Saccharomyces cerevisiae S288C: one gene and its partners. The gene in region 1 interacts genetically with each later gene. Each region holds a gene or a part of one and is shown in the gene's direction. Other genes may lie near its edges.

Region 1 (3,425 bases):
ACCATCACTAATTAAACTTTTCCTATTTTTTGTCTTTACAATATTCATTAGTCTTCATTCGCATTGGGTGTTCTACAGAAATGCTGGGCAAATCTGGAGATGGGTTGATACGCTAGCGTTCCTACTTGTAAGGGAGCAAAGATGTTAGATTTTTCTGTTTTGGAATTTTAGCTTTCTGTCCACCTTAGGTGTATGGCTCGGCTCTCGATGAGAATAGGAAAGTATTCCGCACTAACCGATGGGGGGTTGTTCTTACCGTAAAACCACACTTGAAAGCTATACGTAGTTGGAACCCCAAAACGACGGTATGAAATGAGGGATACATTAGGGGACAAAAAGGACTAGTAATTTCTTTGAAATTTGTAATAATAATTCGAAAAGTTGAGCATCCTTAATCTGACATGGCACACAGATGAAAAGGTGTTGAAAGCACTGTAAAAGAGGTTAAGAAATATCCTCTTTTCAACGAGCTTCATTTTGAGTATAATATGTTTATATTTGTCGCTGGCCCTGAGATGCTCAACTGTAAGTAAAACATCGGATGTGTGGATAAAAAGAACATGGAAAACGAGTGCAGCAACGACTATATTTAAAATAGTATCATTCATAATTCGATAGATGGACTTTTCAGCTACTTGTAAACGGCGAAATTGTGTCTAAGTTGTGAATGAGCTTTTCATTTTCATTTGCGTACCGAAGTGGTAAAACTGACGACCTAAAGTACGATATACGGAATAAAGCAAGTTCTAATACTCTCTGCAGTTTGACCAGTGCTACTTGGCGCTGTTCATTCCAATTAGCCGTAAATTTGTGAAATAGATCCCAAGATAATCTCCGTTTTATTTGCTTCCAAAGAGGTTATCTTTTTAATAGTTGGCATTTTCTAGCTTCTTGGTTGCTATAAGGCATAGTTGAAGTGCAGTGAGAGGAAGAGGGGAACTCACGGAAAGAGACTCCTTATACTTTTGTCAACCGGTGTGTTCCAAAATTCGCTAGTTAAACGTTTTATTAGCAGCGGTCCCATTGAGCCAAAACCCCGCTGAGCGTTGCGACACAATCTGATCATACCACATAATCATTGCAGCGCCTACTTTTTAACTTCTAGCAGCCAAATTGTTATTCAGATTTAGTTGGCGGTACGACTCCTTACAGCAGTAAATTATTCGAATTAGTAACAAACGAGTGATTGGTATGTGGAGATAGGAAACGAAGACTGAGCAGAAGCACCCACGCTAAGTAATTGTATTCTTGAATTGGGAGCCTGAAGAATTATGATCAAGCTCAGCATCTTTCCGTAGCGTCTTCGAGAATTTGTCCTGTGAGCGGAAGGTTGAAAGTTATAAATGATGTCTTATTTTTTTGCATGATCTCCCCAGACCCAGATGTCATCTGTAAAGAATTTAGTAGGACAATTGAAGACGCTGTCTTCCAATTGATTCAGCGAAACCTTTTCTTAAGATCATTCATATTCTTGTCAAAACACAGATCAGCGTCATATTATTCTTGTCTCGACATTAGGCCGTAATTTCGTCGAAGAAAAATGATCTATGTCATTGTAAATATCTACAATTCCAGCTATTTACGATAATCACGTTAGAATCTTTTGAATGAATGTCTTTCGATACTTTTCCACGCTTGAAAGTTCGCATTCTTTTGGCGTTTTGTATCCTTATTATTCCAAACTTTGATCCGTTTCAACAACGGAAAAGGGAAAAATGAAAAAGTGCTGGTAAGTGAAAAATTATGAAAACTCGCTAAACGGCGAAGTTTAGATGTGAGACAAGCAGCAATGGAAGTATAGGTTGGTATTGAATATCTGTGGTTACTCTAAAGATGTCTCCGAAGAATATAACAAGGTCGGTGATCCCGGCTATAGATTTGTATTGCCGCAAAGCAAATTTTAAAACTCTAAAATCATTGTCGATGATCCTAGGTAGTAAAAAAGAATGGTATGACACTAAAAAGGCGCCATTGAGAACCTTTTTGGTCTCTCGATGTGGCATTTTCGAGCAGTTGAGGGGTCGTCTCGTTGAAGATGGCAAAGTCAACTTGTTTAGTGTTTTCCTGACAAACGACTCATTTTCTTTTTGCAAGATGACCGTTGATGATAAGTTCAACACTAGCTTGGTCGATTGGCAAAAAATACCCTTTGACAGTACATTTGCAACTGACAGAAGACAGAATATCAGTTTACTACCTGTTGATACACTGTTTGCAACTGAAAAGATCATATCGATTCTTGGTGTATCTCCTAATATGACGAATCTTGTTTCTATAGAAAGAGAGCGATCAGACCTGGTGGATTTTAATTGTAAACTGCAATCAAACATCCTAGAACACCTACTATACGCGAAATGCCAAGGAGTGTACGTAACTTCTACCAATGAAAAAGCTCGTTTGCTTGCAGCTGTCTGCAATCCTGAATTCATTGACACCTTCTGGTGCGAATTGACTCCCATAAGAGTCTCATTAAAGGAAAACCCTTCCATTTCTGTACCTCGAGAATATCAGATGTACGATCCGGTGGTACGTGCCACTATAAAGGAGGTTGTCACCAAGCGATTACTGCGATCCGCCTTCGATAATGACATCGACCCGCTAATGTGTCTTCATTTGGATAAAGGCTGGAAACTTAAATTCCCCATACTATCCTCGACAACGGGCCTAAACTTCTCCCTGAAGGATTGTCTTTCCCTGGACACAGGAAAAGATGCATCTGATATGACAGAGGTGTTTCTCGCTACTATGGAGTCGAGTAAAGTTCTTCGTACGTATAGCAACCTCGTTGACATTGTGATGAAGGACAATGGTAGGTTGGACTCAGGCGTCCTAAAGCAATTCAACGACTACGTTAAGCAAGAAAAGCTCAATCTACAACATTTTCAGGCCGGTTCCTCAAAGTTTCTCAAAGGCGCAAAGATATAATCCTCTTATATAGCATGTAAATAGAAAGTACGTAAAAAAAAGCTACTATTGACTTTATTCTCCGTGAGGGCGGTTCTTTCTGTAGCTGTTGGTTTTTTCCAGATCTTATGTGACACACCTGCACAACAATGTCATTCTCTGTCAGCTGCAAGACTCCCAAGACCACGAAGCTGCTGGTATCTTCTATTTCAGAGAGCGCTGTTGCTCTTATTATTATTACCATACGTATACTTTTTTCCATTGGCAAAAGCGATTTCAAAAAAATAATCTCCAAGGAAATAAATGGTGCAGAAACAATATACTACAGAAATATACCGGAAAGTAAACCCCAAGGGAGTTAGCACAAGATGAATCTAAGATTTGAATTGCAGAAACTATTGAACGTTTGCTTTTTGTTTGCATCTGCTTACATGTTCTGGCAAGGCTTAGCCATTGCTACTAATAGCGCTTCTCCGATCGTGGTGGTGCTTTCAGGCTCCATGGAACCAGCTTTCCAAAGG
Region 2 (2,961 bases), on another chromosome or scaffold:
TTTAACATGAATAAGCTCAAAGTAAGCCAGAACAATTACCTACAAAGAAGTGATTTCTATAAATTCGAAAGAAACGGCACTGAATGGGAATATATATTTGCATCAAATTCAGCTTGTCTTGATTATAATAATAATACAGCTGTTAATAATGATATAATTTCGTCACTTAATTATTGCATCAGTGATGACAGATATTATGAAACTGCAGCGATGTGTGTGGTTTTGAAATTATCTCAAGATTGCTCTTTTGATGTGAGGCTTCAACGAAGTGGAAATGGGCCATATAAGAATATCTGGGATATGCCTTGCGGAGAATTACAACAACACATTGGTTACAAAAATGGTATATGCTATAATAGTGAAAACACGGTGTTATCGGCAGTAGGTGTAGAACATCGATATCATAAAAGTGTTTCTCGTCTATAAGATAAATTTGTTGGCGGTTATAGTTCGAAAAAGTGTATTGGACATGTTATAGATCAGAAAAACTTGGATAAAAATTGATAAAAGAAAAATGAACCACAATACCTTTACATAGTATTTTAACTCATTATCCTCGTGAAATATATATATATATATGGATATATATGGAACTTTGTTGGAATGAAATTTTAATATCATCTATTTCGCAGCACTCATGTTACTATTATATCACATGCGGTGTAAGAGGATGGCATAAAGATTGAGAAACAGTCATCCAATCTAATGGAATGCACGACACAATAATGAGTGACAACATATAAAAGGAAGTAAGATACAATAATATTATTATGTATAACTATCGATTTCCTTTTGTGGATTCCTATATCCTCGAAAAGAACTTCTAGTATAATCTGTGTACCTAATATTACAGCCTTTGAAAACAATGGAATCCCAACAATTATCTTATTCCCATAATTCTCATATACAAGATACAAGGGAGAAGTAAACAATGGATACAAGGAGAAATATGGCGCTAAAGGCTGATTTAATTGGATTGTTCGATTCGAAGTCGCTCAATAGAATTTGATGGCTCCCTCAGAGTGCGGTTCAAATCATTCGGATACTTTGAAGAAAGGGTAATATATTGTACCTTTGAACATGAGTTCATGAGTTGAAAAAGGTAAAAATAATCTGCTAAAATGATTACTCTTCTCTAAGAATGTGGTCTTCCCCACCCACGTGATAGTAATACATAGGAACCGTTTTACTGAACGCTACATTACCCATCAATATAATATCATGATTTAGCCGCCGAATTTTATGTAACTAAAAGGTTGCGGGACTTTGAAGCCCAGGTAGAAGTGTTTCATTCACAGAAGGAGATGCCAATGTGCTATTATTATCCCTGTGTGGCGCACTATTCAAACGGATTTGACTGTTCTTCAAAATATCGTCATCGCAGACGCTAAGGTTGTTGGGAGAAGCCACAGTCATTAGATACGATAGTCTCATGATGACTTTTTCTCGTTTTTTTTCGACGTTTTAAGGTCGCGTCGAAGTTAGGAAGGTTAGTTCATTTACAACTTGTTTTTGAATACTTACTTTCTTAATCATCTATTTTGATTTGTTGTCCCTTAGGTCTATAGAACAGGATATCCCGCCGCGCAATTTACTAATGACCTACACTACCAGACAAATTGGTGCCAAGAACACCTTGGAATACAAAGTTTATATCGAAAAGGATGGTAAGCCAGTTTCTGCCTTCCACGACATTCCCTTGTACGCTGACAAGGAAAACAACATTTTCAACATGGTTGTTGAAATTCCACGTTGGACCAACGCCAAGTTAGAAATCACCAAGGAAGAAACTTTGAACCCAATCATCCAAGACACCAAGAAGGGCAAGTTGAGATTTGTTAGAAACTGTTTCCCTCACCATGGTTACATTCACAACTATGGTGCTTTCCCACAAACTTGGGAAGACCCAAACGTAAGCCACCCAGAAACTAAGGCAGTTGGTGACAACGATCCAATTGATGTGTTGGAAATTGGTGAAACTATTGCTTACACTGGTCAAGTCAAGCAAGTTAAGGCTCTAGGTATCATGGCTTTATTGGATGAAGGTGAGACCGATTGGAAAGTTATTGCCATTGATATTAACGATCCATTAGCCCCAAAATTGAACGACATTGAGGATGTTGAGAAATACTTCCCAGGTCTGTTGAGGGCTACTAACGAATGGTTCAGAATTTACAAAATCCCAGATGGTAAGCCAGAAAACCAATTTGCCTTCTCCGGTGAAGCTAAGAACAAGAAGTACGCTTTGGATATCATCAAGGAAACACATGACTCCTGGAAACAATTAATTGCTGGTAAGTCTTCTGACAGCAAGGGTATTGATTTGACCAATGTTACTTTGCCTGACACCCCAACCTACTCCAAGGCTGCCTCTGATGCCATCCCACCAGCTTCTCCAAAGGCAGATGCTCCAATTGACAAGTCTATTGACAAGTGGTTCTTCATCTCCGGTTCTGTTTAAAATATTTTGAATTGAAAATGAGACACCTACCACGTATGCGGCTTCAAGTTGTTTAATATGTAGCTATATATCGATTATATAACTGACTCATGAATGAATATCTTCCTGCTGCAATTTTTCTTTAACCACATGGAAAGCCATAAATCTTGCCTCCTACAAGGCCTGGCTTTTTTCGAGGGTATCGCCAGGAAAAACAAATCAATAAATGTAAAACAAATAGAACCCTATTTTTTTTTATTAAAACCTATATTTTTGTAATAAAAAATAACTATTATACAACTGTTAAAGAACCCAGTAAACCTAAATATATTGATTTATATTTTATTGTGTTTTTGTTCGTTTTTTACTAAAACTGATGACAATCAACAAACTATGATCTTTCACCTCTTAATCTTCTAGCCAACTTGATATCCTTCTTTTGGATAGTGACACGCTTGGCGTGAATGGCAGCCAAGTTGGTATCTTCAAATAAAGAGACTAAGTAGGCTTCGACAGATTCT
Region 3 (2,572 bases), on another chromosome or scaffold:
CGATTATTTCAATTTTCATCCATAGTGACAACTTCAGCATCGAACACAAATCAGCATCAACAGTCTGTGAATAACATAGAGGAACAGCCCAAGAAACGTCAACTTCATTATACCGCCCCAACAACTGAAAATAGCAATAGTATACGGAAAAAATTGAGGCAAGAAAAACTGGTAGTATCAAGCCACTTTCTGAAGCCACTACTGAATGAGGTAAGTTCTTCCAATGACACGGAATTCAAAGCAATAACAATATCAGAGTATAAGGACAAATATGTTAAGATGTTTATTGATAACCATTATGATGACGATTGGGTTGTTTGTTCTAACTGGGAAAGCTCAAGGTCAGCTGACATCGAGGTAAGAAAATCATCAAATGAAAGAGATTTTGGAGTCTTCGCTGCAGATTCTTGTGTTAAAGGTGAGCTAATTCAAGAATATTTGGGCAAAATTGATTTTCAAAAAAATTATCAGACAGATCCAAATAATGACTATCGTTTGATGGGAACGACAAAACCTAAAGTACTTTTTCATCCACATTGGCCTTTATATATAGACTCTCGAGAAACAGGCGGATTAACAAGATACATAAGACGGAGTTGTGAGCCCAATGTGGAACTAGTAACGGTAAGACCGCTTGACGAAAAACCAAGAGGAGATAATGATTGTAGAGTTAAATTTGTTTTAAGGGCTATAAGAGATATTCGTAAGGGAGAAGAGATAAGCGTAGAATGGCAATGGGATTTGAGAAATCCTATTTGGGAGATAATAAATGCATCTAAAGATTTGGATTCCCTACCGGATCCCGACAAGTTCTGGTTGATGGGGTCAATAAAGACTATTTTAACAAATTGTGATTGTGCATGTGGGTACTTGGGCCATAATTGTCCAATAACTAAAATCAAAAACTTTTCTGAAGAATTCATGAGGAATACGAAGGAATCCCTATCTAATAAATCTTACTTTAATACAATAATGCACAACTGTAAGCCATAAACGAAATTTTAAAATTAATAGTATTCATTTTAATCTTTTTTGAAAGCTTAATTTTATCATCATAATTTTTCTTCCAAAACTTCAATCTTGGTATTTTTTTTCGCATTGGTCTTCATTTTTTTTCTTTTGTTTTTAGCTTTAATGTTGAAAGCGTGAATATCAAAACACTTTTATAATAAATCACCACTTTGTAACTATAGAGAACAATTCATGCTTTATTTATAGATGCCACGATTAAGCATCAATCATTAGTTGAGAGGATCCTTAACGTTAAAATCCACCGCACTTTTCCTTTCAAAAAGCTGCATTGTTTCCATAATTCATTTCATGGCAGGTTAATGACTTATTTGATATGAAGAGTGAGGTTCTTATCAAATGAAATTCCTACATATGAATTTTTTAAAAGAGAGTTTTTCGTTTTACGATATTTATTTACTTCATCATCGTTTATCATTTTTCACGTAGCAAATTTTGAAGCTTCAACTTATAACTCATTTGCATCCGATTCACATATTTCAGCTGACTATAAATTTGGCAACAGCTTCGTGACTTGAGCATAAGAAAAACATAGACTTGTTGGATATAAAATATGGCTCACAGGGCTTTCATACAGGTTATAATCACAGGAACTCAAGTTTTTGGAAAAGCATTCGCCGAGGCGTATAGACAAGCGGCTTCACAATCAGTGAAACAAGGTGCTACAAATGCATCTAGAAGGGGAACAGGAAAAGGCGAATATGGTGGTATTACGTTGGATGAGAGTTGTAAAATTTTAAATATTGAAGAATCCAAGGGCGATTTAAACATGGACAAGATTAATAACAGGTTTAACTATCTATTTGAGGTTAACGATAAAGAAAAAGGTGGAAGCTTCTACTTACAGAGCAAAGTTTATCGAGCAGCAGAAAGGTTAAAATGGGAACTGGCTCAGAGAGAAAAAAATGCGAAGGCGAAAGCAGGGGACGCTTCAACAGCGAAACCTCCTCCGAATTCAACAAATTCATCTGGTGCAGATAATAGTGCAAGCAGCAATCAGTAGTCAAGGAAGCCTCCATCATTACGTCACAAGTGTTATCGAAAGCATGCAGCAGTGCATATATTTTCCTAGTTGGTTGCTTCCTGTACGTTAGGAATCTTCAACCACCATCCTTGTATTTAGTTAATATTAGTATATGTACCAAAGTAAATATACTCAGATGCCATCTCGATATACGCACCGTACACGAAAATGAAATTAAAAAAAAAATGTTGGAGCACAAGCAAGGCAGCATCAGAACGTACCGTCAGTTGGTACCAAGACAAGTCCATCCCCGTAGGCACTACAAATTATGGGAATGAGAAAGTATACAAAATATAAACTGTCTTATCATGAAGAAGAGTCGCTTAGGAATTTAAACTTTCAAATCGCATTACGCAATTCTCTAAAAACGCGAACCTTTCCCTGATATGTAATCAGGGAATTTCCTCAGAATAATATTCGATCTAAGAAACCGGAAACGAAATGAAAATTGTTACTACTTTGTTTAGGAGTAGTCAAAGTTCATTCAGCTATGGGTTATGATGAAATGATTTAAATTAT
Region 4 (2,715 bases), on another chromosome or scaffold:
TGGCTAAAATTCTGCTAACAGGAATGTAATCCTTTTCCAAGCATTTTGCCAATGATGAAACTGTGGAAGATGGGCTACCAGCTTGCTTAAACTTGAAGGTAGCATTAGAGATATCTTGCAGTTCATTGAATATCCATTTTTGAGGTAGTGAGTTTTTCAACATTTCAATATACTGGAAGATCAAGACAATAACATCGCGATAGTGTGTCAACCCGTTGTCTGTTAAATCTATATCGACAGCAAAAAAAGCATTTCCTTTGGACACAGTATGCCCACCAGCAGATAGCTCATTGGCCCAGCCCAATTTTTTCAAATGTGCTAGTAATGAACCGGACCCTTCATGGCCGATTAAATGACTTAATATCCTCGGTGGCTTGGACTCCCAATGTTCCTCCATATCAGGGACAGTGAAAGAGATTTCTAGTTTTTTCAAATCTTTCACAGGACGGACTTGAATTATTTTTTGCAAATGCTCAGGCTGCATAATAGGTTCCGCATAAAGGGGTACTTCACGACCGTTATTGGCTACATCCTTGAAGAGATCATAAGTCCAATCAGAGAGAGTATCAAGGTCTTCTCTACCAAGAATACATAGCTTCATTAGGTTAGCGGAGTAAAAATTCTTATGGAATTTTAACAGTTCATCTCTAACATTTAGTCCATTTTCCTTTGGCAATGTGCCCAAAGTTTCGATGTTTCCTGTAGAAAATTTGTGATATGGATGTTTTGTATTGGTCAAAGACTTGTCTAATTGGTAAATTCTCCAAATATCATTCTGTAAGTTCTTTTTGTTTTCGCTGTTAACGGCGTTGATCTCTTTATCAGTAGAGTCCTTGTTGAAAAGAGGACAAGAGAAAAACCCTGAAAACCTGTCTAGCGCACCAAATAAATGTTGGTGATTAACCTCAAAAAAATAATTTGTGTTTTGCGATGCTGTGTAGGCATTGGATGAACCACCGTGCTTGCTTAAATAGCTCGAGTATTCGTTTTCGTCTGGAAATTTCTCAGAGCCCATGAATAAAAGATGCTCGCAGAAATGCGCCAATCCAGGTAGGTTCTTTGGATCTTCAAAGGCGCCAATATTGACGTCTAGCGACGCTGCTGCTTTATCTGCTTTTGGGTCCTGGATCAACAGAGCCTTCAGCTTATTAGGTAGCTCAATAAACCGATACGATCTTTCGTCTAAATCCGGCTTTAAAAAGTCCAGATTGAATGTCTTAAAATTGGATGTCATATTATAAGGATTTGTTGTGTAATAGCGTGATAAGCACGTGAATGGCTTGAAGCGTCTTACGGTGAAATTGAGACTGATAGGTGAGAGGTGAACCAATTGAGTGAGGAGTGGTTTAGTTACAAATGCAGAAGAAGAAGCTAAAAGAGATACGCCCATACAGAGCAATATCAAAATGAGCAAGAATGAGGTCTTCCGAATGGTTGGTTCTGACTTACTATTTGATTTCACTTTCTCTGATTCATTCAGGAAGAAAAGGGCGAAGTCCTCGAAATGAAAATTTCAACATCATTAACAGACCGGCGCGCGCCTTTACAATTTAGTATGTACGCCACCAATAAAAGCTGCTTAAACAATAAGCTAGAAAGCCCAAAGGGTGTTAAATAGTACAGCGAACCCTTCAGCAACGGTACATCAACAACCCCTTGAAAAGAATAGAGACAATACAGCTACAGTCATCCCCTTCTCTTGTATTTTTGGCCACAATTGATTGTATTACATCATATTTTGCCTGTGCGCTTCTTCTATCTTTTCCGCATAAACTAGGGGAAACGCGATGAAGAAATGGATTGGCTGAAAAATACAACAATTGTAGTGTTATTCAGTCATTCAACTGACAAAAGTAACAAACACAAGAAACGTCAAGTCCAGTGCAATATGCGAAAGAACACTTTAGATATGGTCACTATAGGTATCGCATGCCTTGTGGGAGTCTACACGGGCACGAGATTTTTCGAGCCCATTGTTATCGATAGATTGCGTAAGGATGGAAACTTGAGAACGGACATTCCCATCCCAGAATACGACGAGGACGGAAATCTGTTAAAGGTCACGCCGTCTTTATCATCCACACCAGCTGCACCACCTACACCACCTACACCTCCTACTCCACCACAACAGTAAGGAAGCGTACTAGAAAATACCTCTATACTTTCTTTTCCTGTATATAGCATCAATAGTAAAGCCATTATAACGTTACAAAAACCTATTACCCGGAAAATTACTATTTATAGAAGCATTGGACCCATGCACCACATGCATTAGGACCCATTATTTCTTTTTTACAATTTTTCCGTTAATTTTTCACGAATTTTTCACCGTTTATAAACACTCTCGAACTTATAAACAAAGGGATGATAAATAGATTTCGCCAGTTGTTAATACACACAGGGTCAAAGCTCACAGCACTACTACACTCGTTCAACACTCGTTATATATTATCATGCGTGCCACCACTTTATTATCTTCAGTCGTTTCTTTGGCATTGTTGTCGAAGGAAGTCTTAGCAACACCTCCAGCTTGTTTATTGGCCTGTGTTGCGCAAGTCGGCAAATCCTCTTCCACATGTGACTCTTTGAATCAAGTCACCTGTTACTGTGAACACGAAAACTCCGCCGTCAAGAAATGTCTAGACTCCATCTGCCCAAACAATGACGCTGATGCTGCTTATTCTGCTTTCAAGAGTTCTTGTTCCGAACAAAATG

The links.
Region 2: mutations in MRS1 (region 1) and IPP1 together harm fitness more than expected from each alone (negative genetic interaction), as found in Saccharomyces cerevisiae (one large-scale study listed by BioGRID).
Region 3: mutations in MRS1 (region 1) and PAM16 together harm fitness less than expected from each alone (positive genetic interaction), as found in Saccharomyces cerevisiae (one large-scale study listed by BioGRID).
Region 4: mutations in MRS1 (region 1) and ECM19 together harm fitness more than expected from each alone (negative genetic interaction), as found in Saccharomyces cerevisiae (one large-scale study listed by BioGRID).

The regions. Positions count from the first base shown.
Region 1 is NC_001141.2:395,461-398,885, forward strand, and holds MRS1 (Mrs1p), read left to right. Parts: upstream 1-1,833; coding exon 1,834-2,925; downstream 2,926-3,425. Other genes in the region: YIR021W-A (uncharacterized protein), read left to right, coding at 3,054-3,266; signal peptidase complex catalytic subunit SEC11, read left to right, coding at 3,273-3,425. UniProt on the Saccharomyces cerevisiae protein: Function in mitochondrial RNA splicing in the excision of mitochondrial group I introns aI5 beta from COX1 and bI3 from COB transcripts and thus would be involved in obtaining the correct structure of the intron, to allow the RNA catalyzed reactions to occur.
Region 2 is NC_001134.8:256,612-259,572, reverse strand, and holds IPP1 (inorganic diphosphatase IPP1), read left to right. Parts: upstream 1-1,597; coding exon 1,598-2,461; downstream 2,462-2,961. Other genes in the region: HHT1 (histone H3), read right to left, coding at 2,832-2,961.
Region 3 is NC_001142.9:225,745-228,316, forward strand, and holds PAM16 (import motor complex subunit PAM16), read left to right. Parts: upstream 1-1,582; coding exon 1,583-2,032; downstream 2,033-2,572. Other genes in the region: SET4 (Set4p), read left to right, coding at 1-993. UniProt on the Saccharomyces cerevisiae protein: Essential component of the PAM complex, a complex required for the translocation of transit peptide-containing proteins from the inner membrane into the mitochondrial matrix in an ATP-dependent manner.
Region 4 is NC_001144.5:901,271-903,985, forward strand, and holds ECM19 (Ecm19p), read left to right. Parts: upstream 1-1,795; coding exon 1,796-2,134; downstream 2,135-2,715. Other genes in the region: STE23 (metalloendopeptidase), read right to left, coding at 1-1,390; CCW14 (Ccw14p), read left to right, coding at 2,454-2,715. UniProt on the Saccharomyces cerevisiae protein: May be involved in cell wall organization and biogenesis.